Linked DNA regions of Oryctolagus cuniculus. The protein of the gene in region 7 interacts with the protein of the main gene of each other region in a pairwise test. Links are inferred from orthologs where the notes say so. Each region holds a gene or a part of one and is shown on either strand. Other genes may lie near its edges. The genes, in order: FAM124A, ABCF3, TTC19, PPP2R3C, ARIH2, NDOR1 and CCDC33.

Region 1 (3,415 bases), on a different chromosome or scaffold from region 7:
TGCGGCTGTCCTCCTCGGACCTGTCTGTGGTCTCCGCATACTCTGCACCCAGCAGGTTCTGCAACACGGCAGAGGCATCCCTCCCCTCCGAAAGACGCAGCAGCCACCGGCCAGGGCACAAGGGGTCCAGAGAAGCACCACTGCCCGCTGTCAGTGAGGCCCCCGCGGGCGCCTCCCAGGCCTCCCTCTCTTTCTTCATCCAAGGGTCCTCCAGCTCCTCAGGGACAGATGGCACTGCTGCCCCGGCTTCCAGCACCTCCTTGCTCCCTAAGTCACCCCCAGAGCTCTCTTGTGACGCTCCTCGCATCACCCAGACCAGCAGAGCCATGCCACCACCCGCCGTGTTGCCTGGCCCCGGGGATGATGACATGGAAGAATTCTACATCTGACCGCCTCCGCCTTTGTCGTTCAGACGCACGGATGCAGACGCGCAGGCTCAGGCCTCCCTGTCCCTCTGGTCTCGGAACGCACCAGCGTTCTCTGCCCTGCTCCCCAGGTCTGTCTGGGATTTCATTGTCTGCTGCCTGGGGACCGTGAGCACATTTGCCAGTCTCTCCATTCTTAACTGAGAGATGGTGTATTTTAGGGACTCGCCGTAAAATACTGACATTTTATGCAAATAAAATAAGCCGTAAAATATATATTTTTGAATGCTCAATTTGAGGCATGGCTTAGTGCACTTATACCACTTAAATGTTTCATTAGAATTATTTGAGATGAAAAGAAGATCCAGTCAGCCAGAGCTGATTTAGCACATTTTCCTGCTGAGAAGGAAAACAATTAAAGCCAAAATGTCGAATGTGGGAAGGATACTAAGTGACTTGCACGAGCCAGCCGTGCACAGTAACAGAATGTGCACCTTCCGGGATTCTTTGTGTATATGTGCAGTAGCCCGAGGAATTTTCAAGTCTTGCTTAGAATGGGGAGAGTCAGCTCGATAAGACAGCTGTGGACAGATGCCTGCCTTTGAGGCCATGCGGCTTCTGAAAATCTGAATTTACACTAAAGTGGCTTAGAGATTTTCTAAGGGTTTGGCACAAGTAACAGACTCATCATGCATTGAAAATTTGATTTGAGTTCCAAAAATTAGATTTGCATCTATTTTCCAATAACATTCACTGTAATGAATGAGAGCCCCAGACCACCTCTCCACGCTCTTGAGTTTATTTAGATCACTGAGTAAGACTCTCCTTGGAGTTAGAGAATCATAGAATATTAGACATACTGGGTAGGTAATCGCAAGAATTTTCAGTTTTCAAAAGCACAGTCTAAGGACAATAGGAGCTACATTTTCTACTGCTTTTTCCAGTCAGCATGCCTGGCCACAGGTCCTACATTTTTTATTTTTAAGTGACTGGTGACATTTTAGCTGGCATTTTGATTGCACAGATTAGCAACTGCCCTCTCCCCAAAACCAGGAACCTACCTACCACACTGTTCTGACCAAATACTTCCAAAAAATGCTTGTGGGCTTGGGGACGGCTGCAGCTGGAGCCCAGCCTCGGCTCTCCCTGCCTGTGGCTGGCTCTGTCGCAGCATGAGTGGCACTCAAATCTCACCCCCAGGAAGGGCATGTTTACAACTGCAGCCTCAGCAATGCCAAGTGTGACATCAGGGGCAATGCCAAGTTGTCTCCCAGATGCGTAAACATTTATCTTTGGGGAAGGAGAACATGGATGTGTGTTGTTCATGTCCCAGGCTGGTGCTCTTTGTCACAATGACTCATGGCACAGAGTTCAGCACTCCCAAAATGCCCACACCAGCCCAGCCGGCCTCCGAAATCTTTCCGACACAGTCATTCACGCAGCCCTTACTGATCTCAGACTCCCACTCAGGTCTACACCGTCCTTGCAATGAGAGCCTTAGATCCTGCCTCAAACGGCCTGGACATTGTAGGACTTCAAACTGTAATATTCTACTCCAATGTAAATAAATGAAAATATGGTCTCTTCTAATTCATTTTCTGAAAAGGGCTACGTAATAAATAGGGTAGGCAGTCATATCATAACTACTGCCGCTGTGGCAGGAAAGCTGCTGTGGATAAAATGAAAATGAACGGGAGTGGCAGAGTTCCAATAAGACTTTGGTGGGCCAGACAAGGTCCAAGGGTGAAGGTCAACCAGCCCTTGAACTAGACTGCCTGGGGCTGATTCGAGACTTAAGAACTGAGACTCTGAAGTGTGTACCTTGGCTGACTGTGGTTGTGATGCCAAGAAATCAGGCTGCTCCCGTCAAGCCAATGACTACAGAACTACAGGCCCAGAACACCAAAGGGCTTCTTTCTACAGAACCAGTTCCTACACCAGCAGTGCCCTCCTGCCTGGAAACGTGACTCAGGGTCAGCCGCTGGCAAGGGAAGGCAGCGGTGACATCAGGGAGGAGGAAAAAAGTCACTCAGGCAATGGCACAGCCCCCAGGGAACAGGGGCACAAGCCCAATAGCTACAAAAGCCAACGAGGCAAAACATGAGTGGCCCAGCTGGCAAGGGATGGCCCTGTCTTCGTCCTTAACCCATGCCCTTCTTTTATTCTTCTCGCATGTCCTCCAGGATTGCCTCAGAGCCCAGCGTCTTCTCAGCGCCACCCTCATCACAGTCTGGTCCAAACTGAGTGACCCCCAAGGGTCATCTGAAAGCAGGAAAGGCAGATGCCCCATAACACAAGGGGGGAAGGGGCGGGAAGACCGCATTCAGGCGCCCCAGTGCCTATGTTGGGGAAATGGGAGTCACTCTGTGGAGAAGGAGCCATAGGGTGGGTTCCAGAGGCCTCGGCTTCCCTCCTGGCTACACAACCAGCACTTCCTTATCCTGGAGGGCTCCTGACACCCACTAGGGAATCCTGACCCTCTTGGATATTGTTCTTGTGAAAGATGCTGGCCTCTTACAGGTGCTCAATAAATTTTTCCATAAAAAAAAAGAGTTGTCTCATTTATTATTTCTTTGCTAACCTAGGCTCTGTGAGGTAGGCAGTCTCAGTTTTAACCCTAGCTTGATAGAACGTAAAAGATCACAACCGCTTAATAGAACACAGTTTCTTGTCTCCTCTGCCCCAGCAATGCCTGGGGGGCTGTATCAGCAAGTGCCCTGATCAAGTACACATCCAAATCAGATCCCCCATATTACTGCTCGTGATCCTACACTGGCCAATACTGACCACCACCAAGTGTGTGCTGCAAGCATCAGATGTTTCTCAGTCCACTCCCACTGACCCGGCAAGCCCTACAGAAATGAGCTTGCATTGCCTCCGTTGCTTAACACGAGCATGAGAGGGACCCTTGGGGCAAGGGTTGAGCCTTTTGGGACACACATGATAGGAAGAACTGGACTGTGGTGCTGCTCGATTCCAGGGCCTGAGGGCAGGGGGCAGTCACAAGAGGGTGTGTCAGGCTGCACTGACTGCAGGTGGGACCAGGTGTT
Region 2 (4,083 bases), on a different chromosome or scaffold from region 7:
GATTCTGGAGGGGGTGGGGGACACCACTGGGGACTCCCCCTGCTTCTCAGGAAACTTCCTGGATACTGTCACCATTCCACAGAGCTATGTGGTGAGCAAGTCTCTGAAGGAACTGCCCATATCCTGCCAGTGTATTAGGGAAGATAAGAGTTGATTTTGCCTTCACAATTTCCCTTCCGGCTTTCTTAAACAAAATTTGAGAACATTTCAAAAGTAGGGTAACACAGTGCACCCTCATATACCATCATCCAATTTCAACAATGATTAACTCACGGCCAATTCCTAGTATCACATCCGATCTGTGCTCATTTAATCCAGATATCCTGTCAAAATTTCCACAACATCCATCTGGATCCAAACAGGGTCCACTGTGGTTGGTTAACCCATCTGAAACGTTTTACACTCCTACCTTTGCCTCCACTCTTGCAGTTTTTAAAGAAACGAGTTCTGTAGTTTCCCCATCAGAATTTGCCTGTTGGGTCTCCTGCCAATATATCCCCCTTTACCTTTATTTCCTATAAAATGGTTATTTGATCTAGAGGCTCAGTTAACACAGGGTTTGGGCAGTGGTTAATCCAAACGGGTAATTATGTAATGTTGGGTCATAGTTTTAAAGCCAGGTCTCAATATTGACATTAAATACAACGCAGTAGCCTCATTTTGGGGGAAAATCCCTCGCTTTTTACCTGAGGGAATCCTTGAAAGTAAACAGCCTTTCCCTGTAATTTAACTGAGGCTTGGGTGCAGAGAACTCAGCCCTGGGATGGGACGCAGCTAGGGACTAAGTACCAGTGAGCTTATCCGGGCTGTGATCTGGTTTTCCGCCCTTCGGCGGTGGGGGAAGTTGCGCCCTGGGGCGGTGAAGAACTGAATGGGCAAGGTTCGCAAGGGTCGGCTGAACCCTGAGGCCGTGGGAAAGGACTGGGGGTGCTGGCCAGCCGGCTGACGCAAACTCCAGGGCCTGAGGCCCCGGACCACACCGGCGGACGCACGGAACGGAGCCGGGGGCTTCTGAGTTCAGAAAGCAGCGTGAGTCAGCAACGCTCACAAAACGGGTCCGTCCAGGCACGCAGTGGCAGATGCGCCCCGCGGGAGCACATAAAACCGAGCAAAGCTACATCCTTATCAGCCGCCCTTCTCGGGAGGCGCCCACCAGCCGGAGCTCCGGCGAAGCCTCGAGCCCTGATAACCCCCGCGCGCGCCTGTCCCGCCCCACCCCTCGCCTCCGGCTCTGCGCCTCCCAGAAGGCAGCGAGAACGGCACATGTGGCTCATCCCTCAGCCGAACAAGCGTCGCGCAGGCGCTGAGGGCAGCTCCGGCGCAGACTCTGAGCTGCGCTTGCGCACGGTTCGTCCGGGCCAGCTCAACCCACCCGTGGGTTCCGCGCACGCCGCTTCTGTCGTACGTCGCTGCTACGCATGCGCTTTGGGAATAGGGGCGAGCTTTCGGGGACGGGTAGGGGGCGGGTCTACGCCGAGGTCTCAAGGCGATTGCGCGTACGGGATTCCTGCTGGAACATGGCGACTTGCGCCGAGATCTTGCGGAGCGAGTTCCCGGAAATTGACGGACAGGTCTTCGACTACGTGACGGGTGAGCTGAACCGAATCAAGGGGCTGGGGAGGCCCAAGTGGAGCTCAGGGGGAAAGACTATGGGAGGGCAGTGCTGGGGACCGCTGCCAGGCCTCTTCTCCGCGTGACCTCTTGTCCCGAAGGCCGGTTGGGTCTGGAGCCCCGACTGGGGGCCGCGATTCAGGGACTGAAACTGCTTGTGTGTCCACCTTGCCCGGTGTCCTGCTCGTCCTGCCACGCCCGGCCCAGGCGTCCTGCACAGCGGCAGCGCGGATTTCGAGTCTGTGGATGACCTGGTGGAAGCTGTGGGGGAACTGTTGCAGGAGGTGTCCGGGGACAGCAAGGATGACGCGGGCATCAGGGCCGTGTGCCAGCGCATGTACAACACTCTGCGCCTGTACGTGTCGGGATCGGGGCGGCGGGGACTGCGGGGGCCGTGGGGCCTTTCCCTCAGTTCCTAACTCCGCACTTTCCATCCCTACCCACCTAGCGCCGAGCCACAGAGTCAAGGAAACAGCCAGGTGCGACTGGATACCCCCATCCAGTTGTCAAAGATAACGGAGAACTACGGTGAGCGTGAGGGGAAGTTGAACTTGTTGCTCCAGCCACCTGCCCCCTGCAGCTCGAGCTGCCAGACTTGTCTCTCACGAACTTGGTTGTACTGAGGCCAGCATGAAGGGAAAGGGCGTGGAGGGGTCTCCGCGCCTGGGTAGGGTAAGGAAGTCTGTGGCCTGGAGCAGCCTAACTTGATTTCACCTCCCAGCTTTGCAACTTACTAACTGCTTGACCTTATCAGAAGAGTTGCTTGTGTGCCTACACCAGTGGGGTTTATTGTCTTGGGGGTGGGGAGGATGGTAGCCCCCATCCCCAGGATGGTAAGGCTTTTGTGTTTGTGTCCCTGGTTCATGTTAATCACTCCGAACCTTAGTCTCCCTTCTTTCTGGGAGATGGGTGACTGCTTTTTTTTTTTTTTTTTTTTGTATTGGTTACAGACTGTGACCCCAAACTTCCAGGACTGCTGAAGAGGGAGCAGTCCTCGGTGAGGAGGCGGGGGGAGGAGGGGCGGTGTCTGAGGTGGAGGTGGGGGTCGGCTGTCCTTGCCTGAGTCCTTGAGTCTGTTTGTCGCGGCTGAGCTGAAGTGCTCCTTCTGGGGGTCCCTGTTCTGAGCCTGCACCCTAGGGTGAAGTGGTTTTCTTTGGAACTTTAGACGGTAAACGCGAAGAAGCTGGAGAAGGCGGAGGCACGGCTGAAGGCGAAGCAGGAGAAGCGCTCAGAGAAGGATGCCCTCAAGACCTGCGGCCCTCCGTGAGTGCGGGGAGCAGAGCCAGCGCCACGGGGCGAGCGGTGGCTGGAGGCGCTGAACGTCCTGTTCTCTCCCTTCTAAGAGTCCTGGAAGAGGCGTCGGCCAGCCAGGCGGGCAGCAGGAAGGAGAGCCGGCTGGAGTCCTCCGGCAAGAACAAGTCCTACGACGTGCGGATCGAGAACTTCGACGTGTCTTTTGGTGATAGGTGAGGGGGATGGTAGTGAGGGTGGCATTCGTCTCCTTTTCCAATTACAGGAGACTTTGCAGAGGTGAAACGGAGCTACACACAGCGCCCCGAAACCAGCTGGTCTCCTTTCTACCACCCCTGCAGGGTACTGCTGGCTGGAGCCGACGTGAACCTGGCGTGGGGCCGCCGCTATGGGCTGGTGGGGCGGAATGGTCTGGGGAAGACAACCCTGCTGAAGATGCTGGCCACCCGGAGCCTGCGGGTTCCAGCCCACATTTCCCTGCTGCACGTAGAGCAGGAGGTTGCGGGAGACGACACCCCTGCCCTGCAGAGCGTGCTGGAGAGTGACAGCGTGCGGGAGGACCTGCTGCGGCGCGAGCAGGAGCTCAGCAGCCAGATCGCAGCTGGCAGGTGAGAGCCCCGGCAGTCACCTGGCCACGCAGAGCTCGGGACTTGCCACTTGCCACCACCGGATGGGACGCTGGTGTTTGTTCTTTTTTTTTTTTTTTCTTTAAAGATTGATTCATTTTTTTTGAGAAGCAGAGTTAGAGAGCAAGGAGGGCAGAGACAGATTTTCCAGCTGCTGGTTCATTCCCCGAATAGCCATAACAGGCAGGGCCAGGCCAGGCCAAATGCAGGAGCCTGGAACTCCATCTAGGTCTCCCATGTGGTGGTAGGGGCCCAAGCACTTGGGCCATCTTCTGCTGCTTTCTCAGGCACATTAGCAGGGAGCTGGATCAGAAGTGGAGCAGCTAGAACCGGAATCGGCACTCATATGGGAGGCTGGTGTCACAGACAACAGCTTAACCCATTGTACCACAGTGCTGCCTTCTCCCCTTCCCTCCCAATGCTCTGTTCTTCCCCAAATGCTCTTGCCCCTGCTACTTTGTGCAGGTTCTTCCTGTCTTCTGTTCCTGTCCCGGCGACAAGGTGGCTAGTTGCCCGCCTTGCAGCTGTGCAGGGTGCAGGGGGACATCCTGCTGGGCTGCCTACACTCAGGCCGATTGTTTCTTCCCCTCCCTTG
Region 3 (4,264 bases), on a different chromosome or scaffold from region 7:
ATTGGGGAGTGAACCAGCATATGGAAGACCTCTCACTCGCTCGCTCTCTGTGTAACTCTTTCAAATAAATAAATAAATCTTAAAAAAAAAAAAAAGAGGCTGATACTGAATTAGGGCTAAGTCTGGGAACATTGGAAAGCACACATAAGCCAGGACAGTTACAACTCCAGGGGACACTAAGAAGTTACACAAGAAAGGAGAAGTCCATCCTACTTTCCCACATTGCTCATCTGTGACTAGCTTGGACATCATCACACACAAAATGTAAACTTGGAAACCCGCACTAAAAACAGCTACCACGGAAGAATGTGGCTTAGCCCGGGGTTGCACAAAGATCCTGAAGTGCGCAGAAGAGTCCTGCCGAAAATAAACTCGCATCAAAGGCAGCGGCTGCGTGTCTGAGTCACGGCTGTGTCACTCGTACCTACCTATCGGGCCCCCACGGCGGTCAGCGCACGGATTACTCCCTCGTGACAAGGCAAGGCTCGTGAAGCCAAAGCATTCCAAACGCCCCAGGCCACCAAATCTTAGAGTCACTGCTAGGCGCTCACAACCGTGTTTTCCCCCCACCCACCCAGAGGTCTGTACCCAGCTGGCGTCATCTTTGAAGCGTGTTACTTTGGACTGCAAAGACCAAAAGTTGCCTTACTTCCCTCAGTCCTTTAAGAAGACACAGTAACTCAAACCCCTCCCCAAGTGCACAGCTTCTGTGAACAAAAGCCCGCGTGTGTAGGTGACCGATTGGCATCATCTTAGAAGACGCGGGGACGCCGGTGAGCGGGTGCAGAGCGCCCTCTGCTGGCCAGACAAGGAAAGGCGCTGCACAGCATCGCGGACGCCAGCAGCTGCCTGCGCGTTCCGTCCACCGTGGCCCGAAAAATACTTTATTTTTTGAACCCATGATTGATTAAACTCGCCATCAGAACTTGACAGCAAAGGCAAACGTGGTCAACTTAGGAACTCAAGATACTCATCTTTCCATAACGCGTCCTTAAGCTTCTGTCCGTCCCAGCCCCCGGCCCAGGGACCCCCCGGCCCCGGGACCCCCCCGGCCCAGGGACCCCCCGGCCCAGGGACCCCCCGGCCCCGTCGCCCGCCTCCCAGCCCCGCACTGTGTCCCGCCCGCGGCCCGCGAAGCCGCCACACACGCCCTCCGGCCCGTACTTCGCGCGCTCTCCCGCACGGCCGCGGCCATCTCGCTCAGGAGCTCCTCCACGACGCCAGGCAACGCGACAGCCATGGCCTGGAGGGTTTGCGCCTCCCTCGGACCAGCGCCCACGACAAAATTCCCGCCACCGAGGAGGGGCGAGAGCTGGGGAATGAGGGGGAAGCGCCCGGCGAAGTGACGTCGGCGTGCGTCACCGCGCATGCGGACAGCCCCGAGGACGCCCTCACGCCCGTCACGTCACGGCCCGGCCAATCCGGCGAGGGTTCGGCGCAGGGGGCGGGGCGTCCGGGGCCGCCGGGCCTGCAGTGCGCAGAGGACGCGGCGGGAGCATGTACCGGCTCCTCAGCCGGACGCTGGGCCGAGGCCTCCTGCGGGCCGCGGGGCGGCGGTGCCGCGCCGGCTTCCCTCGCCTGCTCCCGGGGCCCGCAGGAGGCGCGGGGCCCGGCGTTCCGGCGGCGCCCTCCCGAGCCGCGCCGCCGCACGGCGGGGGCCCGGGCCTGCTGCCGCTGCTGGCAGGTGAGGGGCGCGGGCCGGGCGGGGCCGGCCGGGCGGGGACAGGGGCGCGGGCCGGGCCCGCTGACCTCAGAGCCCCTTCCCGCAGCGCTGTCCTGGTTCTCGAGGTCCTCCGAGCCGGAGGAGCAGGAGCAGCAGCAGCGGGGAGCGGACGGCGCGGCCGCCGCCGAGGACGCGGCGGACGAGGCCGAGGCCGAGATCATCCGGCTGCTGAAGCGGGCCAAGGTGAGGCCGGGCCGGGCCGGGAGCGCGGGCGAGCGGGGTGCACCTTGCGCTCTGCGCGAGGGCGGAGGGAGGCCCGGGGATCGGACGGGGCTGGGCGCGGGTGGTGGGGGGGTGGGAATCCGTCCAGGTGCGGACAGCGGAGGATGGCGTCCCCCACCGGGCGTGTCTCCGTCCACGCACGCCGTCCACAGTGTTCGGGAGCTCCGGTTATACTGTAGCGCCCTGTAGACGGGCCGGGTAGGATCCGAAGTCTGATCCTCTTCTTTCTGTACATTCCTCCTTTTCCTCCGTGCCCTCTGCTCCCCCGACACACACCCCGGTTATCTGTTCTCTTTCTTGGGCTGGATTCCAGCTCAGTGCCAACACCGTGCACTCTGTGTGTTACCCACCTGCTGTCTCCTCCAGGCTGAACTCTGGACCCCAGGTGCCACCCCGACACCTGCTTCCACCGCCCTTACTACCTTCAGTATCTCAGCTTAGAAACCTCAGTGTACCTTGTGTGTTGCCTCCCAGTACACTCAACAGTGCAGCCCCCAAATCCAAAATGAAATTGTTCTGCCATCTGCCCTCCTCGCTCTCGCCCTGGTTGTCACCAACCCTGGCTCCCGCCATCCAGTCTCCAGTAGACAGAAAGATTTCTTAGCATATTTACGTCAATTGGGTGTTACCTTCCTGCCTGAAAACCTGAGTGGCATCCCACTGCGTTCATGAGAAAGTCCAGTCACCTCGCAGTGGCCCCTAAGACCCTATGTGAGCCAAGCCTCCCACCTTGCCCACCCGTGGGGCAGTAGCCCTCTGTCTCCCTTCCCCAGAACCATCCTCTCCAGCCCAGAGGGGCCGTGCTGTGCTGCTCTCTCGTTTCTCCGTGGGTCCTTCTTCCCCCCAGTTCTTTGTTTGGTTGACTCATCCATCTTAGCTCAGTTAGCTGTCGCTTCCTTAGAAAGCGTCCCTGACTCCCATTAGAGGAGAACCCCCCCCCCATCACTCCTTTCCCTCTCATCTGTTGCCCAAAACGTTGTCGTGTGGCCACCCTAGCCACGCAGGAGGCCCACCTGCCCGTCCCCTCCGCAGACGCAACGCGTGGTGCCTGTAGGAATTCAGTACGTACCTGGTGAACAGACAGACGGCTCGCTTCTGCGTATTGGGAAACGCTGCGTGTCCGCCTCTGTCTGGTAGCTCCGGCGTCTGCTCTCTTTGGATTTCGCTGTTATTTTATGTATTTATTTATTTTATCTCCTGTCTGCAGCTGAGTATCATGAAGGATGAGCCAGAAGAGGCCGAGAAGATGCTGCACGATGCTCTTCGCCTCGCCTATCAGAGCGATAACAAGAAGGCCATCACTTACACTTACGACCTGGTAACTTTGTGTCCAGTCCCAGCTGCTGATGTGCAAAGTGGATGAAAGGGAAGGGTTGTTCTGGGTTTATGTTGCTGACCTGCAAGATGTCCTAAAGCTCATTTATTTTTTTCAACTAAGTTTTTCATGTGGTTTGTTTTAAAAAGATGCTATATTGTTACTTATAAGATATCTCAATTCCAGACCAAAAAAGAAACAGATATCATTATCATTTGTTTCTTCCGTCCTGGATGGACTTAGATTTGGTTATCAGCAAAATATATGCAACAAAGTACTCACTTTAAAAAAAATAAAAAGGAGGGCCGGTGCCGCGGCTCACTAGGCTAATCCTCTGCCTTGCGGCGCCGGCACACCGGGTTCTAGTCCTGGTCGGGGTGCCGAATTCTGTCCCGGTTGCCCCTCTTCCAGGCCAGCTCCCTGCTGTGGCCAGGGAGTGCAGTGGAGGATGGCCGAAGTACTTGGGCCCTGCACCCCATGGGAGACCAGGAGAAGTACCTGGCTCCTGCCATCGGATCAGCACGGTGCACCGGCCGCGGCGGCCATTGGAGGGTGAACCAACGGCAAAGGAAGACCTTTCTCTTTGTCTCTCTATCTCACTGTCCACTCTGCCTGTTAAAAAAAAAAAAAAAAAAAAAAAAAAAAAGGATTTATGTATTTGAAAGGCAAAGTGAAGAGGGAGGGACAGAGATCTTCCATCTGCTGGTTCACTCCCAAATGGCTGAAGCCAGAAGCCCGGAACTCCTATCCGGGTCTCCCACATGGTGGCAGCAGCCCAAGGGCTTGGCCCATCTTCCACCGCTTTCCCAGGCACATTAGCAGGCAGCTGGATTGGAAGCGGAGCAGCCAGGACTCTTAACTGGCACTCTGGTACGGGAGGCTGGCTTCACAAGTTGGTGGCTTAACCTGCTGCCCCACAACGTCCACCCCAGAATTCACTTTTTTTTTTTTTTTAAGATTTATTTATTTTACTTGAAACTCACACTTACACAGAGAAACAGAGG
Region 4 (4,240 bases), about 69 Mb from region 7:
GAATAGTGCCCTTCACGGGAGGCATGGCCCGATCCTTGTTCGGAGGATTCCTCTGTGATCGCTTCTCAGCTGCTCCAGCTGCGAAAAGATGGGAAGACTCCAAAGGCACTTGCTTTTTATTGCCCTCATTTGCTTTCCAGAGATGTCTGCCCCTGGCAATCAGCGGGTTCATTGCTTTGGTGTTTTGTGGAGACATTGCTTTAAGAGAAAACCATCTATGGTCGTTCCTGATGCCAACGCAGTTTGTGAGAAAGAGGGAGATGTAAGAATGCCTTGGACGTAGCCCAGCGTATGGGTTGCTCTCCCAAAGTTTAGGAAAACTTCGAATGCCAGACATACAGAACGCCATCGTGCAACGGAATCAGCACCCGATGGGACGAGAGATGTTCATAACCCCCTACTTCCACAGCAAAATGAAGAAATGGAGGAGGTCGAGAGTGATGCGCCAACTTTTTAAAAGGAGATTTTCTGTTTCTTCTTTACACACAGATACGGGTCTGCTTTGGGGGCTATGTAGTAGCAACGAAGGCAGGTGAGCCCTCTCTATTAAGCGGCGACTTGGGGATATCCAACACTGGTCGTAAACCCTAATCCGGGGGTCGGGGCGGGGAGCTCCTGGTGCCTGTTAAAATCCAGCCCGTGAATCCGAGGGAAAAGCACAGGAGGTTCACAACTGTAAAAAAGGGCAGGATCCCATGGGAGCCTTGCGGGAAAGGAAGCATAAAGTTAAAACCGGGAATAGAAGCCCCCAACCCCACCAACAATAACGAGGGCGGCCAAAGCCACGGGCTCCCGCGCGGCATAGCAAATCTCCCGGGGCCGCAAACGCGTCAGATGAGGGAAAGAGGGGGAAGGGGACAGCCGAGCCTACAAGCGAGGTCCAGGAAAGGCGCCAATTTAACCGTGTACCTGTCAGCAGCCAATGAAGTTCACTTCATTGCACAACTCACCACAGCACTCACGCCTCAGCGGCCCACAAACGTGAAGCAAACTGCAGGGTCCACAATGCACCGCGCCAGCCACGGCCCGCGAGGCGTGCCCGAGCCGGACGCCCGCGTTTCCGCTCCGCTTAACCGCGAGAAAAAAAGATTTGGAAGCTTATAGTAGCAAAAGAGGGAGAAGACGGCTACTGAGGCGTCAAGCTTACTTAAAACAAAATTCAGGGCCTCAAGCTCAATTAAAATAAAATGCCAAAGTACTTCCCTCTAGCCGGAAACGGCAAAGGACTCTTGAGTCACGTGGGGCACACGCGCCAAAGGCCCACGATAAGGAAACAAAATCGTGGGCTCCCTTACCTTGGCCTTTAAAATCGAACTTGGTGAAACGTGGACGCTTCTTAAGCAGGATTATTTTCCATCTCTTTCATGTCTGCTTTTCCCAGTTAGAGATACGGCCCTATCCACCGCGACAGCTACAGGAGTTCCTGCCCCTTTAGCCAAGACTTCCGCCCATGTCAAAGATGGCGATTGGTAGGCCTTCCCAGCCTCTACGTAGCTTGAGGGCGTCTGACGTCAGCACTGATGGGGGGAGGAGCGGTTAATATACAGCAAATGCAGGCGCTGCTTCGCGGGAGTCAGCCATGGACTGGAAAGAAGTCCTTCGTCGGCGGTTAGCGACGCCCAACACCGGTCTAAACCGTGAGTTGGGGCAGGACCGCCCGCTGGGCTGGCGGGGGCGCGGGGTGGGGGGCGCCTAGACTCTGCGGCGGGCCGGGGTTGGGAGGCGTGCGGTGAGTTGGGAGGAGGAGCAAGTGCGAGCCGCACTTCGCGCTTCTGTAGCATCCCCGGACCCAGGAGGCGGAGTGGTGGTATGTGTTTCTGTGACCCGCAGAGGTTTCTCCCAAACTTCGCTAGGAAGGGCCTTCGGGAGCGAAGACCTTAGCCTGAGCACTTACTTACATGGTTGTGATCTGGACTGGCGGGCGGTGACTGAGAACCCTGGCTCCACCGGCTCTTCGACCCCACCGCGATCATTCATTGAGCCTGTAGCCTTTCTGTCACAGTCACTTCCTTCCTTTTCGTTTTAGCTGTAATAATCCGTTTTTCTTTGTCCCTTTCCCTTCCTTTACACTTGCTTGTTAACCAAGCTCGTGAAATCTTTCTTCTTCCACATTCGTTCTCCGGGCAGCTGAAAGTGGCTGGAGAAAAATCGAACCAGGATGAGTCGTCTCACTGTTGACCCAGATCCGCTAACCTAGAGCAGGTGTTTCGGGCACGTCTGCTGTGTTTCCTAGGGCATCCACTGTAATAACACCGAGTTCTTGTCACCTCCCAAACCTCCGTCCATCCTTTTCCCTTACTGTCGGCTTTCCCAGTCCATAGCAAAGAGCCGGATTGGAAGTGGAGCAGCTGGGACTTGAACCAGTGCCCATATGGGATGTTGGTGCTGCAGGCAGCAGCTTTACCTGCTATGCCACAGCACGGGTCCCCATGTTCAGTTTATAAGCACAATTATGAAGCCTTGTTGGCATTGCAGCTATGTTTTTCTAAAGATTGAGAGGGAGAGATAAAGGTCTTCCTTCCACTGGTTCACTCCCCAAATGGCCACAAGAACCAAAGTTGTGCCGATTCGAAGCCAGGAGCCGGGAGCTTCTTGACAGTCTCCCACGCAGGTGCAGGGGCCCAAGCACTTGGGCCATCTTCTGCCACTTTACCAGGCCATAGCAGAGAGTGGAATCAGAAGAAGAGCAGCCGGGACTAGAACCGGTGCCCATATGATATGCTGCACTGCAGGCAGCAGCTTTACCCGCTGTGACACAGTGCTGGCCCACATTGCAACTATTTTAAATGACCTGTAGTAGATAATGGACCTGATAAATAATATTCCTTTAAAAGTACTTTTCTCCCCTTCATTTGTTTTGTTACCAGGAAAAAAAAGTGAACAAGAATTAAAAGATGAAGAAATGGATTTGTTTACGAAATACTACTCCGAATGGAAAGGAGCTGGGAAAAACACAAATGAATTCTATAAGATCATTCCTCGGTTTTATTACAGGGTAAGTGATAGCTAAGCAGATGTTTTTCAGAATTTATAAATTAAATGTAATTTAAAATTTAAAATAATGTGGCCGGCGCCGCGGCTCACTAGGCTAATCCTCCGCCTAGCGGCGCCGGCACACCGGGTTCTAGTCCCGGTCGGGGCGCCGGATTCTGTCCCGGTTGTCCCTCTTCCAAGCCAGCCCTCTGCTGTGGCCAGGGAGTGCAGTGGGGGATGGCCCAGGTGCTTGGGCCCTGCACCGAAAGGGAGACCAGGAAAAGCACCTGGCTCCTGGCTCCTGCCATCGGATCAGCGCGGTGCGCCGGCCGCAGCGCGCCGGCCGCGGCGGCCATTGGAGGGCGAACCAACGGCAAAGGAAGACCTTTCTCTCTGTCTCTCTCTCTCACTGTCCACTCTGCCTGTCAAAAATAAATAAATAAATAAATAAATAAATAAATAAAATTTAAAATAATGTAATAAAATTTAAAATAAAATGTAATTAAAAATGGGATCAGAATTTTATATTTTAAAAGTAGTACTGTATTTGAAATATTGTATGTTATTTTATTCTTCTTGATCTTACACCTCTTATCAATTTGAATCCAGTGAAATCCTGAATTTTGATATAAATTGGTATAAGAACACAAAGTTATTCCTTGTACTTTTTTCTAAATCCTGGGATTTTTCTTAATTTTTATTGTGGAGGAGTGTAGTGTTATATTGTGTTATGTTGAGGTATGCAACACATTGTTATGAAGTGTAAAGGTTTTGCTTAAAATCTTTTGAAAGTAGACTGAAAATGGAAAACTCAGAGCTTCATAAGTTTCCTTATGTCAAAAGTGTAAAGAAGTCTTTGAGATTATAGACAAAACAGGAACACTAAGAAAGCTACCTGAAAGTGAAGTGCACTGAAAAGCATAAGACCTATTATTATATAGAATGTAGCCACTATAGAAAAGTCTCTTGAATCTAATTTTTTTATGATATTATTTGTTTATTTATTTAAAGGATGGAGTCACAAAGAGATGTTCCATTCTCTGGTTTACTCCCCAAATGCCCACAACAGCCAGAGCCAGGCCAGGCCAAAATCATTAGCCACGAATTCTCTCTGTGTCTCCCACATAAATGACAAGAATCCAAGCACTTGAGCCATTACCTGCTGCCTCTTAGGGTGTTAGCAAGAAGCTGGATTGGAAGTGGGGAGTGGGACTTCATTCCAGGCACTCCCATATGGGATATGAGCTCCTAAGTGGTGGCCTAACTG
Region 5 (3,500 bases), on a different chromosome or scaffold from region 7:
AGGTGTATTGCAGAGTGTACCGACACTGCAGCAGGAGAGAAGAGAAGGGACCTGTGTCTGTGATTCTAACCTACCTCTACCTCAGGTGGCTCTGAAAACTCTTGCCCCACCATGCAGATTAACCTGGCTCTACAGGTCTGGGCTTCAAAGAATCAGAGCCAAGCCAAGGAGAAGATGGACTGGGGCAAGACATGGGGAAAGCAGAACAGAACTGATCACAGGACACCCACCTTTCCTTTTTCAAACTGTGATTTATTACCAGCACTGCCTCAGTGACTTCTCCTTCTTGGGTTGGACATCAGAGTCCACATATCTATCTCAATATTTGTCCGAAGACTATCTTTTCATTTTCCTTTGCACGACGCAGAGATGGGACAAAGGGAGAGGAAGGGGATTCTAGTTTTCCCTGCAGGCAGAGGCAGCAGAACACTATTCTTAGAAAGCCTCTGGGGCCGGCGCCGCGGCTCACTAGGCTAATCCTCCGCCTTGCGGCGCTGGCACACCGGGTTCTAGTCCCGGTCGGGGCGCCGGATTCTGTCCTGGTTGCCCCTCTTCCAGGCCAGCTCTCTGCTGTGGCCAGCGAGTGCAGTGGAGGATGGCCCAAGTGCTTGGGCCCTGCACCCCATGGGAGACCAGGAAAAGCTCCTGGCTCCTGCCATCGGATCAGCGCAGTGCGCCGGCTGCAGCACGCCAGCCGTGGCGGCCATTGGAGGGTGAACCAACGGCAAAGGAAGACCTTCCTCTCTGTCTCTCTCTCTCACTGTCCACTCTGCCTGTCAAAAAAAAAAAAAAAAAAAAAGCCTCTGACTTCCATCAAAGGACTGAGTCCCTCAAGGGCCCAGCACAAGGAAATGTGGGTCTGTCAGCAGAAGCACATTAGGCTGTGCAGGGTGCTAACGACTCCCACTCCCCACAAGACCTCCCACCCTCAGAGGTGTGCCCTGATGGGGGCCAGGCACTGGAGAGGGGATCCAAGAGTGAGGTGGTAGATACCTTGGCCAAGAGCTTGGCAGCGTTCTGTAGATACTGCCAGTCGATCCACGTCCCCAGGTTATTCATAACCCTCTCTTGAATCTTTTCATGAATCCGCTGGTATGTCTGCGCCTCTAGCTGCAAGCTTTTGTTGTGGTTTTCCCACTAGAGGGCACAGAGAGAAGGAGAAAGCTGCAGGAATCCCAGGAGGTCCACAAGTCCACAGGTCCACACACTCAGGACACACCTTTGGCTGGCAGGGCATGACGACAGACTCCTTGAACTTACGGGGAGTGTGTGTGGCCTCCACAGTGCAGGAAGGGCTTGCTTTCAGTGCACCCACGAGAACAGTTTCAGTAAACCCTCAGAACAGCTCTCTGCCTGCCCAAGTACTCCATCCCGCTGGGGAAACGGGACTCTGGCCCTGACAGCCAAGCAAAGCGGGGGCCCCCACTAGTCTACTGTGCTTAGGGACCAACTGTCATACTCTGACTTCTGAAGGGTCTCCCTGGGGGAAACCATTCCCTAATTCTGACCACTAAGAAGGCACTGGAGGGCCAGTGTTGCGGCGCAGTGGGTTAGGCTGCCATTCTATGGGCACCAGTTCATGCCCTGGCTGCTCCACTTCCATTTCAGCTCCCTGCTGTGGCCTGGGAAAGCAGTGGAAGATGGCCCAAGTGCTCGTGCCCCTTCACCCACAGGGGAGACCTAGGATAAAGCTCCTAGCTTTGGCCTGGCTCAGCCCTAGTCGTTGTAGGCATCTGGGGTGTAAATCAGCAGTTGGAAGATCTCTCTTTCTCTATTTTAAATATAAATAAATAATTTTTTTTAAAAGCACTGGAATGAAAACTGTCTAATGAGTCTTCATTATCCTTTCATCCATCGTTAACTGAGGTCAGTTCCCTGTCCCTCTCCAGCTGTGGCTACCCAGTAGAGCCTAAAAGGCACAGGTGTAGAGGTAGCACCAGGGCTACTGGCAGGAGCTTCATTCACTGCGTTCTCTATGCACAGGCTGGCTCTGGCTACCAGTCAGCCCAGTCAGCCCACCCAGGTAGGCTAACCACAGAAGCCCACCCTGGTGGGATGGGCACAGGAAAAGACGCCTACCCTCTCAAAGTAGAACAAGTACTTCTTGAGGGCCTCCCTGGCCTGGGCTTGCTGGCTTTGGTTGACAATGTCAGGATTCTCCTTGTACCGACTGCACTCATAGTATTCACTGCCATGAGTCTTCCAGTCTCCTAGACACATCCAGCAGAAGTCTGCACAGAACAAAGGGAGAGTCACTTATAGCCGTAAGACAAACCCACATCCCTCCAAGGCACTGGCAAAGCAGTGGGATGGACAGACCCGGAGGTATCACCTGACTAGAACATCCTGGCTGCCTCTTTCCAGAGGGAACATTACCTCGCATTATCCCTGAGGCCTGTCCTTGCTGATATGACAGCTTATGGATATTCACCATTCCATGAGCACATGCGCTCTGTGTCTATTAATTTCAACATAGGTAGGTGCAGACTATACAAGGACCACGGGCCTGCTGTGTCAGTACCACTATAAGAAGCAGAAATTTGTCCAACTGAAGCCCACCTGGTTGGCTACAACACACACCATCTGTATATCCTATCTCTCATCTTCCTAACACTTGACCTAGGAAGATGTTTGTATGTGAAGCTGGTCCTCTTCTTTTTTTTTTTTTTTTTTTTTTTAAGATTTATTTATTTAAAAGGCAGTGTTATAGGAGGAAGTGGGGGGCGGGGGGCAGATGGGAGAGAGAGAGAGAGAATATCTTCCATTAGTTGGTTCACGTTCCAAATGGCAGGGGCTTGACTAGCCTGAAGCCAGGAGACCAAAACTCCATCTGGGTCTCCTATGTGGGTAGAAGGAGTCCAAGTATTTGGGCCACCTTCTGCTGCTTTCCCAGGCACATGAGCAGGGAGCTCGATTGGAAGTGGAGCAAGTGGGACTTGAATCCACAGCCATATGGGATGCCAGCACTGCAAGTGGTGACTTAACCCACGGCACCTCAATGCCAGCACCTCCCTTCATTTTTTTTTTTTAAAGAAGATTTATTTATTTATTTATTAAAAGGCACAGAGACGGGCAAGGGAGGGAGGGAGAGAAAAGGGGAGAGGAAGGGCAGGTGGGGAGGTGCATGACTCTGCTTCCAAACTAAGGAAGCAAAAAGGAAAAATTTAAGATACCCTTATGGATGCCGTACATCCCAGGAATTACTACAGCCTAACGGAGCAGGGTCAACCACAGTTCATTTGTATGTCCAATAATGTAGATGATGTCCTGTCTGCAGAGCCCCTGACAGTGGTAGGTAAACTCTGCTTAGGCTCTTGTCAAGCTGTAGGGAAGCTAAAGCCAAACCCAGAGACCCAAAGGCTGTTCAACTTCTCCTGGGAGCCTTCATCTAACAGCGGCAATACTGCCCTCTCCCTGGCAACTTGTGCTTGCTACTGTTTCAAATACCGCATTGGCTAGGGTTGCTCCTATAAGCAGTATAATTAATTACACAGCAAAGC
Region 6 (4,236 bases), on a different chromosome or scaffold from region 7:
AGGCCAGCACCCGTCCTCGGAGGACGGCCAGGCCCCGTCGGCCGAGGTGCCGGGTGCTGCCCTGCCACTCGGGCCGCGGCCACCGTCACACACCCTTCATCCCGAACCCTTCTAAACGTGGAAGCCTCCCCAGCTCACGAGTGGCGGGAAACCAGGGTTCAGGGCAGCTTTGCCCCCGGCCCTGCAGAGCCACACATGGCAGGTGCCCTCACCTGGGCGCCCCCGCTCGCCTCCCCTCCAGGTCCACCCCAAGCCCCGCCGTGAGACCCACGCAGGGGCCCGTCTTCAGGACGCACAGAAAACCCGCGCCTTTCCGGAAAGATTCTCTTTTATTTTTATCGCAGATGTTCCCACTTGGCACCCAACTGGCGTCAGACCAAAGACCGCGGCCGACAGAGCCGGCCACCCCGCTTCCCACCTGCAGGTCTCAATCCTCAGGGCACCGGGCACCTGTTCCTCTCGGCCAACCCCATGGCAGAGCGATGCTCCCAGCTGACAGCGGACGCGGTCTGACGTCCTTCAGGCCCTGCGTGGTGGCCGGGATGGAGAAAGGACATCAGGCAGGAGATCCACCATCTCACACAGCCTGGACAGCACGGTGCGACTGGAGCTCTTGGGTCAGCACAGCCGGGCCAGGAAGTCCCTGAGTCCAGCGGGGCAGCTGCTGTGCAGGCCCCGAGCTAACGGGAGAAGCAATGTCAGCCACGACTTCTGGGCAGCAAAGTGGCCGCTCGGCTGGGCAGGAGCAGGCGCTGTCTCTGGTGCAGCGGGCGGAGGTGGGGCCCCGGCTGGCCCACGCCCCGGGCTCGGGGTCCCGCACCCCCGGCGCGGGGCTGGCCGCCCCACAGGCCCGGGCACGCACCCCCGCCGCGGGGCTAGTTGACCCGACAGGCGCGGATCATGAGCAGCTGCAGCAGGATGAAGACGGGCGACGCGATGAGGCCGAACCACAGCTCCCGGGTCTGCTCCACCAGCTTCTGGCACAGCAGCATCTCAAAGACGAACTTGAGGCTTAGCACCGTGAGCACCCAGAAGAGGCGCAGCACGGCCAGCCGCTTCTCCCCGTCCTGGAAGAGGCGCACGGACACGATGGTGGTGAAGTAGGCGCTCAGCCCGTCGGCGGCGAACAGCGGCACGAACACGTTCCACCAGGACAGGCCGGGCGCCAGGCCGTCGGCGCGCAGCGCCAGCAGCACGGAGAACACCAGCAGGGCCAGCAGGTGCACGAAGCTCTCGAAGGGCGCGAAGCCCAGCCACTGCACCAGCTCCCGCAGCGAGAAGAGCATGGCGCCGGCCGCGCGCGGCCCGGGGCCTCGCCCGCCGCCCCCGCAACCGCCGCGAGCGCGAGGCAGCGAGCGGCCGCGCCGCCGCCGCCGCCGGCCGCCGCCCGGAACCCCGCACCGGCCGCCCGCCGACGCCCGCGGCGCTCGGACGCCATGCCCCGCCGGGCGCGGCCCAAGTGCGTCACTTCCGGTGGGCGGCGGAAAGCGGAAGTCGCCTCGCGGCGGGCGCCGGCGGTGCACCTGGTGGCGGGGACCGCCCCCCGGGGGAGCCGCGATGCCGAGCCCGCAGCTGCTGGTGCTGTTCGGCAGCCAGACGGGCACGGCCCAGGATGTGGCGGAGAGGCTGGGCCGCGAGGCCCGGCGCCGGAGGCTCGGCTGCCGCGTGCAGGCGCTGGACTCCTACGCGGTGGTGAGCGCTCCGGGGGCGCGGGGAGGGGGCCGGGCCGCGGGGGTGCTCGCAGGGGGCGCCCTCGGTGCGGTGTCCCCGCACGAGGTCTTACCTGCGTGTCTTCTCTTGAGGTGAACCTGATCAACGAGCGCCTGGTGGTATTTGTTTGTGCAACTGCAGGCCAGGGAGACCCCCCGGACAACATGAAGGTAAGGCTGGCCCGGGGGCTCCGCCCCGCACTTGGAGAGACACCGGCGGTAGTCAGTGGCTCTCCGCCGGTGCTGTCGGAGAAGCCTCGCCCTCCGTGTTCACCGCTCGCGGACAGGCTGGTCTGGTCTCCTGTGGCTCCCGGGGAAGGGCCTTTAGGTCTCGGTGCAGCCTGGGCACGGGCTGGGGCCGGGGCTCCCGGGAGCAGAAGCAGCGAGCGTGCTGGGCGGTCCAGTCGGCGCCGGAAGTGCCCGCGGCTGGGGAAGGTGCCAGATGCTAGGGGGGCCAGCCGCGGGGTGCGAGCAGAGCCTCTGGTCCTGCAGCGAGCGGGGCGCCAGGCCCGGGAGGAGGGTGCTTGGCGCTGCAGGGAGGGGCGGCAGGAAGCCAGGCCCAGTGCAGAGTGGCCGGGCAGCGGCGGTCAGGCAGGTGGGCCGGAAGCCGTGGGGCGACAGCTGTCAGGTCCAGGCCTTCTGCTCACCCACAGAAGGGGCGGTGGGCACGCAGGGGCTGAGGCGCCCTTGCAGGGCGGTGGTGGGAGGAGCAGAGGGGCAGCGCGGAGGGCCGCTCTGGTCACGGACAAGGAAGGTCGGGGTTCAGGTTTGGGGCTCCTGGGGTGGCCCTGTGAGGGCGGGGGCGGGGGGAGGGGTCCCAGCAGCACAGCCCAGAACCGCTGCTGCGACGGGGAGACGAGGGGAGGGGGCGCGGGAGGCAGCGAGCTCGCCCCCCACCTCGTGAGTGCCTGCTCCGGGCGGCCTCGGGGCCACCTGCCTTCCCTGGACGGGTTCTCGGCACGGTGGCAGAGCAGTCGTGTTGCTCCAGGTGTCCATGTTCGTCTGCCTGCAAGCCAGGCCTGGGCCGGGCTGAACCCGGGAGGCCAGACCTGCAGCTGGGTCTCCGCGTGGGCGTGGGCGTGGGCGTGGGCGGCGGCCAAGCGCGGAGCCGTCAGCACCGCCTGCGGGGCGCGCGGGAAGCCCGGCTCTCACAGCTCCCTGCGGCTTCAGAACTTCTGGAGGTTCCTGTTCCGGAAGCGCCTGCCGCCCACCTCCCTCTGCCAGATGGACTTCGCCGTCCTGGGCCTTGGGGACTCCTCCTACGCCAAGTGAGTCCGAGGCGGGTGGGCGCTGGGCGGGAGGGGCGAGAGCTGCGTCCCGTCCACGCACGCTCTCCGTGGGGCCGGCGCCCCTCCACACGGCTCCGCCGGGGCGGGGGGCTGCCTCCGGTTTTCCTCGGCCTGCCGTAAACAAGCAGCAGTGTCGCTCGGCAGACGTGGAAGACCGCCCGGCGGTCCCAGAAGGGCGGGGTGGCCGTGCCCGCAGGTCAGGCACCCCCGAGTCCCTTCAGTGGGAGGCACAGGCAGTGAGGACCTGGGACCGCTCCACGTGGTGTTGGTGACCGGGGGGGCACTCCCCACAGAGGAAACCGCGCCCGGGAAGACAGGTGGCCCCCGCAAGTCCCGGCTCCCACCTGCGGGCACCCGGATGAGGGCCGTCGGGAACGAGGCTACTTCCCAGCCCCGGAGCTTCCTCGGCTCTGCCAAGCCTGGGCCGGCCGCGCTGTCTCTGCAGGTTCAACTTCGTGGCCAAGAAGCTGTACCGCCGGCTGCTGCAGCTGGGTGGCAGCGCGTTGCTGCCCGCCTGCCTGGGCGATGACCAGCACGAGCTGGGGTGAGAGCAGGGGGCGGTGCCGTGGCGCGGCCAGCAGGGCCCCGCCACGGGCAGGACGCCCTCAGCTCGTGCCCATCCCCCCAGGCCTGATGCCGCCATCGACCCCTGGCTGCAGAGCCTGTGGGAGAAGGTACTGGAGCTGTACCCTGTGCCCGCCGGCCTCGCCGTGATCCCCCCGGGAGTCCCGTGAGTGTGGGCCTCCCCGAGGGGTGGGCGAGGGCCCCGGAAGGCAGCCCAGGCTCTGACGGCCACGCCCTCCCCACAGCCTGCCCTCCAAGTTCACCTTGCAGTTCCTTCAGGAGGGCTCCAGCGTGGGCTCGGAGGAGCCCCGCGAGGCTGGTGCTGACCCTCAGGGGCCGCCCACAGAGCTGCGGCCCTTCCTGGCGCCCATGGTCACCAACCAGAGGGTCACCGGCCCCTCACACTTCCAGGACGTCCGCCTGATAGAGTTTGACATCACGGGCTCTGGCATCAGGTAAGGGGCCTGACACAGCCTCGTCCCCAGACAGGCAGGGCAGCGGGGTGTGGAGGCGTCCCCGGGAGCTTGGGGCTCGGGGTGGGGCAGTGGGCGCAGGGTTCTCGAGCCCCCGCTGGAGCTGGGAGTTGGCAGCTCTGCTGGGGAGGCCTGAACGTGGCCTCCCTCCGCAAGCCCCTCCCCTAACCCCCACCCAGCTTTGCCGCCGGTGACGTGGTG
Region 7 (4,146 bases):
CAGCCAGCCCCAGGCCCCCATCGCCAAGACTGGGGCCGTGGGGGCTCCCTGTCGGTGTGAACTGTGGTGAACAGGACAGTGGGCTCATACGGGGCGCCCACCACAGGTGGTGTCCTGCACGGCGGGGAGTCTGCTAGAAGGACCCTGCCCCCAAATGCTCACCTGTCCTGCAGAGCCAGGGTTGAGCCCAGTCTGCTGGATTCTACGCCATCAGCATTTGTTTTGTTTTGTTTTTTGTTTTTTGCCTACTTGGTGGTACCAGGCCGTCCTGGGCAGGACCAGCACAGAGCATGCCCTGTGCAAAATGCAGACGCTCACGCATTTAGGCCAAGAGCCACTCGCCAAGCTCACAGAGGTCACCCCTGTACAGGAACCCCGGGGAGGTCAGAGGGCAGCCCCCCAGAGGTTCCAGGATCCCACCACGGCCCTGAAATGACAGCTGGCGTCCAAGGGGCTTGGCTGGATGTCACCGGCCCACCCCAGATGCCCCGTGTCTGCACCCGCTAACAGGGGCCCACCCAGCAGAGCCTCCAGGCTGTGCCACCTTGCTGTCCTTGCCGCCAGCATCGGGGCTGCGCCGTCTCAGAGCTTGGCGGCTTTCACCTCTGGGCTTGGCCCAGCTTGCGGGGGGTGGAGCAGGGGAGGAAGGAGAGAGACACAGCCCCTTTCCCTCAAGTGAAAGCAAAAGGCAGTGAGGCTCAGTGGTCACAGGCTGGAGCCAGCAGGCCTGGACGCAGAAGCCCGGCCCTGCCACTCCCAAGTGGGTGACCCTGGCGAGTGTTTGTCCCCCGAACACGTGCGTCCTCGAGGGAGGGGGCATAGACTTGAGGATGAGCTGAGGCCGTACAGCAGGGGCGGGGAGGTGACCGGAGGCGCTCAGGTCCAGGCGCGGGGCTCCTGGCAGAAGGCAGAGGCGTTCCTGGTCAGGGGGCCCTGAGGGAGGGGACTGCGTGGGCAGCGGGCGGGCGAGGGGGCAGCACTCACTGCCTACAGGGTGTGAACTCCCACACAGGGGGGAGGGGCTGGGGAGAGGGCTCAGCAGACTCTGTGCTGGTTGCCGCGGCCAGGGCTGGTGGCAGCAAAGCTGTGAGCGCGTGCCAAGGGTGAGACTGTCGGTGCCAAGTGCAGCGCCTGCCCCCGCGTGGTCTCACGGGGCCCTCACGGCAGCCTCGAATCCCTGCTGCACAGGACCATGGCCGAAGCTGTGAGACCACTCAGATTTGCCCGCGCTGCTGAGCCAGCACCCGTAGCTTCCGGCTTCTGAGCCCACCCCCTGCACCTGCGGAGGGGCATGTGTGACTTGGCCCTGGCCTGTGACATCACACAGCGTTGCCCAGGTGACCTGGCCGGGTCTCTTCCAGGTCTGGGCAGAGAGAGGGCCTCCCCTTTCATCACCTTCCTGAGGGCGCCTGGAGTCGAGTGCCCGGCTGGGGACCCTTGCCCAGCTGGCCATGGCCCACATCCCCCAAGTCGCCCCCACCTCCACCCCCTCTCGCTCCTGAGAAAGCTCTGGACCCCTGCCCCCAACCTGCGCCCCACCCCTGCCCCGTGCTCAGATCCAGGACTGGTATCTGGCACCCCTGTGAGCGCAGGGACGCCCAGCACCACTTGCCACCCCCAAAGACACCAAGGCTGCAGGGCCAGCTGTCCAGGCAGGACGGACGCCTGGTCACTCACAGCACCAGGGACCCTTCCCCAGGGTTGTTGACCAAAGCTGGATGCCCCTGCCCCCGAGGCGATGGGACTGAAGAAGAAAAAGGTAAGGTGGGGGTGCACGGTGTGTGCACAGCACACTGCCCCTCGCATGCAGCCCCTCGTTCTGACGACTCCCGAGCCTGCGCACCAACGTCCCTTCTCACAGCCTCAGCTTTCGCATCTGTGAAATGGGGCCCCAGAGGGTCTCTGTGGTGCCTCCAGGGTGGGTGTCCTAGCACCATGGGCCAGTGGATACCTGGCTACCACTGCCCACACTGCTGGTTGCTGGGGTCACACGGGCTCAGAGAGCCCCCTGAGATGGGGCCTCCCCCGGGTCCCTCCCTGGCAGGGCTGGCTGCCAGGCTCCAGGCTCCTGCCCCAGGCTCCTAGCTCCTGCCCTGGGCCCTTGGAGAGAAGGAGCTGTGCTGTGCTCACTGCTGTGTCCCCAGCGCCTTGCACACAGCAGGTGCTTAATGAACCCTGTGGCCGAGCGCAGGTCTAACATCCAGAATCTCGGGTGGGACCAAGTCCTCCGCGTTGCCGAGCCTGGGACAGCAGCGTCATGTCCGCGTGGCAGCAGGCGGGGCTGAGGGCTCTGAGCACCTAGGGACACCCCCTCTGCACTTGGGCTCTCCCGGGGGGGCCAGAGCCCCCTGTGGCACCTACATTCACAACCCTGGATTCCGACGCCTCTGGTTCCGGGCTGCCGTGCCCAGAGCAGGCCCCCCCAGGCACCCTAAGCTGTCGGCTGGGGCCCCCTCCCCACCAAGCTGGGTTCAGGGATGCAGAGCGTGGCCTCGAGTGTGATTCGTGGTTCCGGGGAACACATTTGACAGCGGCCGGAACTCCCTAGGAGCTTCCTAATGTGTAGCGAGGGTTACATCTTCCTGCCTTTTTTTAAAGATTTATTTTGTTTATTTGAGAGGCAGAGGCAGAGAGAGAGCTCTTCCATGTACTCATTCCCCCGAAGGACTACAACACGGGCTGGGCCAGGTCAGAGTCAGGAGCCGGGAACTGGACCTGTGTCTCCCACGCGTGTGGCGGGGACCCAACTGCCTGGGTCAGCACCTGCCACCTTCTCACTAGCAAGGAGCTGGGTTGGAGCCAGAGCAGCCGGGACGCGGTCGAAGGTGGCGGCCTTCCCCGCGCTGCGCCGGGCTCCAGCTGCACCCTGCCGCTCCCCGGCCGGTCCTGACCCACACCTTTTAATGGTGATGTTCGCGGAGCTCAGGACCCCCTGAGGACTGGGGACATTGGTCTTTTTGTAGACAGGGCGCCTATTTGCCCCCACGTGTCTTTTCTCTGCATTGTGGTGAATTGCAGCCATTCTAGAAATTTCTGGGGAATTTCAAATGTAATCCCACCCCTCAGACTGCCCTTGATGGTCTCCTGCTTTGAGTCCCTTTAAAAAAAAAGAATTTATTTATTTGAAATGCAAAGTTACAGAGAGAGAGAGAGAGAGAGATTCCGTCTACTGGATCACCCCCCAATGCCCACATCAGAACTGGGCTGACCTGAAGCCAGGAGCCAGGAGCTTCCTCTGCGTCTCCCACGTGGGTGCAGGGGCCTGGGCACCCCGGGCCGTCTTCTTTTACTTTCCTGGGCACGTTAACAGGGAGTTGGATCGGAAGTGGAGCAGCCGGGACTCAAACCTGCACCCCTGTGGGATGCTGGCGTGGCAGGCAGCAGCTTACCCCGCTATGCCACAGTGCTGGCCACACAGGCCACTGCTCTGGCTGCCGCCAGCCCTCCCGAAGATCACAGCTCCGAGGCCTCCATGAGGCGGACCCCAGGATGGGCCCCAACTGCAAACAGGTGTTCCAGGTCCCGCTCCGCTGCGGCGGGCCCTGCTGTATGCTTGGGGGCGGGGATTTTGTCTCTCTGAGTGCCCCACCCCCAGCTATAAAGGGGCTTTACCTGGGCATCAAAGCTCCCGGCAAGAGGCAGGCACCTGGTTAAAACGCCACTTGGGAACGCCCACATCCCATCTGGCTCCACTTCTGATTCCGGCTTTTTGCGTGTCTGCTGTGTGCGATCCAGCATGGGGGTGGCCGACGTTTGTAAACTGTGAAGTGCTGTGCACAGGAGGGACCTGGCGGGACGGGTGGGCAGAGCTGAGCGCATGGGAGAGACTGACCGGCCGCTTGATGTGGCGCGTGGTGTGGGACCGGGGAGAGAACGGGGATCGGAGGTGACAGCCGTGCCGCCCCAGAGCAGGTGGAGGAAGAGCGAGGGAACTGGCAGCTTATAGGGGACAGAGGGACAGAGCGGAGGGGGGGCCACTCAATGCTGCTGTCCCCGCAGGTTGCCGAGGGCCCAAAGGAGCCCCTGGACGTCGCCCTGAGCACGGAGCCCACCGCCAGCCACCTGGCTCCCCTCAATAAGGAGGTGGTCGCAGTCACCATCCACGGGGCCACCCACCTGCCTGCCTGCGGGGACGGCTCCGAGCCC

The links.
Region 1: the proteins of CCDC33 (region 7) and FAM124A interact in a two-hybrid assay, tested with the Homo sapiens proteins (2 studies listed by BioGRID and IntAct). The two-hybrid records come from large-scale screens. The link is inferred for Oryctolagus cuniculus from reciprocal best matches to the Homo sapiens genes CCDC33 and FAM124A.
Region 2: the proteins of CCDC33 (region 7) and ABCF3 interact in a two-hybrid assay, tested with the Homo sapiens proteins (2 studies listed by BioGRID and IntAct). The two-hybrid records come from large-scale screens. The link is inferred for Oryctolagus cuniculus from reciprocal best matches to the Homo sapiens genes CCDC33 and ABCF3.
Region 3: the proteins of CCDC33 (region 7) and TTC19 interact in a two-hybrid assay, tested with the Homo sapiens proteins (2 studies listed by BioGRID and IntAct). The two-hybrid records come from large-scale screens. The link is inferred for Oryctolagus cuniculus from reciprocal best matches to the Homo sapiens genes CCDC33 and TTC19.
Region 4: the proteins of CCDC33 (region 7) and PPP2R3C interact in a two-hybrid assay, tested with the Homo sapiens proteins (2 studies listed by BioGRID and IntAct). The two-hybrid records come from large-scale screens. The link is inferred for Oryctolagus cuniculus from reciprocal best matches to the Homo sapiens genes CCDC33 and PPP2R3C.
Region 5: the proteins of CCDC33 (region 7) and ARIH2 interact in a two-hybrid assay, tested with the Homo sapiens proteins (2 studies listed by BioGRID and IntAct). The two-hybrid records come from large-scale screens. The link is inferred for Oryctolagus cuniculus from reciprocal best matches to the Homo sapiens genes CCDC33 and ARIH2.
Region 6: the proteins of CCDC33 (region 7) and NDOR1 interact in a two-hybrid assay, tested with the Homo sapiens proteins (2 studies listed by BioGRID and IntAct). The two-hybrid records come from large-scale screens. The link is inferred for Oryctolagus cuniculus from reciprocal best matches to the Homo sapiens genes CCDC33 and NDOR1.

Annotation. Positions count from the first base shown.
Region 1 is NC_091440.1:70,650,653-70,654,067, forward strand, and holds the end of FAM124A (protein FAM124A), read left to right. Parts: coding exon 1-389; 3' UTR 390-2,915; downstream 2,916-3,415.
Region 2 is NC_091435.1:93,764,612-93,768,694, forward strand, and holds the start of ABCF3 (ATP-binding cassette sub-family F member 3), read left to right. Parts: upstream 1-1,283; 5' UTR 1,284-1,418; coding exon 1,419-1,590; intron 1,591-1,818; coding exon 1,819-1,966; intron 1,967-2,059; coding exon 2,060-2,139; intron 2,140-2,561; coding exon 2,562-2,608; intron 2,609-2,776; coding exon 2,777-2,874; intron 2,875-2,954; coding exon 2,955-3,077; intron 3,078-3,203; coding exon 3,204-3,470; intron 3,471-4,083.
Region 3 is NC_091448.1:60,003,076-60,007,339, reverse strand, and holds the start of TTC19 (tetratricopeptide repeat protein 19, mitochondrial), read left to right. Parts: upstream 1-1,464; 5' UTR 1,465-1,497; coding exon 1,498-1,684; intron 1,685-1,769; coding exon 1,770-1,906; intron 1,907-3,152; coding exon 3,153-3,263; intron 3,264-4,264. Other genes in the region: ZSWIM7 (zinc finger SWIM domain-containing protein 7), read right to left, coding at 1,165-1,369. UniProt on the Homo sapiens protein: Required for the preservation of the structural and functional integrity of mitochondrial respiratory complex III by allowing the physiological turnover of the Rieske protein UQCRFS1.
Region 4 is NC_091443.1:40,416,063-40,420,302, forward strand, and holds the start of PPP2R3C (serine/threonine-protein phosphatase 2A regulatory subunit B'' subunit gamma), read left to right. Parts: upstream 1-1,440; 5' UTR 1,441-1,579; coding exon 1,580-1,637; intron 1,638-2,867; coding exon 2,868-2,995; intron 2,996-4,240. Other genes in the region: PRORP (mitochondrial ribonuclease P catalytic subunit), read right to left, coding at 1-349. UniProt on the Homo sapiens protein: May regulate MCM3AP phosphorylation through phosphatase recruitment. May act as a negative regulator of ABCB1 expression and function through the dephosphorylation of ABCB1 by TFPI2/PPP2R3C complex.
Region 5 is NC_091441.1:100,171,768-100,175,267, forward strand, and holds part of ARIH2 (E3 ubiquitin-protein ligase ARIH2), read right to left. Parts: intron 2,232-3,500; coding exon 2,080-2,231; intron 1,138-2,079; coding exon 994-1,137; intron 52-993; coding exon of another isoform or gene 26-51; coding exon 1-25.
Region 6 is NC_091432.1:237,493,210-237,497,445, forward strand, and holds the start of NDOR1 (NADPH-dependent diflavin oxidoreductase 1), read left to right. Parts: upstream 1-1,436; coding exon 1,437-1,692; intron 1,693-1,802; coding exon of another isoform or gene 1,803-1,851; coding exon 1,852-1,880; intron 1,881-2,849; coding exon 2,850-2,977; intron 2,978-3,443; coding exon 3,444-3,542; intron 3,543-3,626; coding exon 3,627-3,728; intron 3,729-3,807; coding exon 3,808-4,017; intron 4,018-4,214; coding exon 4,215-4,236. Other genes in the region: TMEM203 (transmembrane protein 203), read right to left, coding at 876-1,286. UniProt on the Homo sapiens protein: NADPH-dependent reductase which is a central component of the cytosolic iron-sulfur (Fe-S) protein assembly (CIA) machinery.
Region 7 is NC_091443.1:109,375,177-109,379,322, reverse strand, and holds the start of CCDC33 (coiled-coil domain-containing protein 33), read left to right. Parts: upstream 1-1,346; 5' UTR 1,347-1,738; coding exon 1,739-1,759; intron 1,760-3,999; coding exon 4,000-4,146.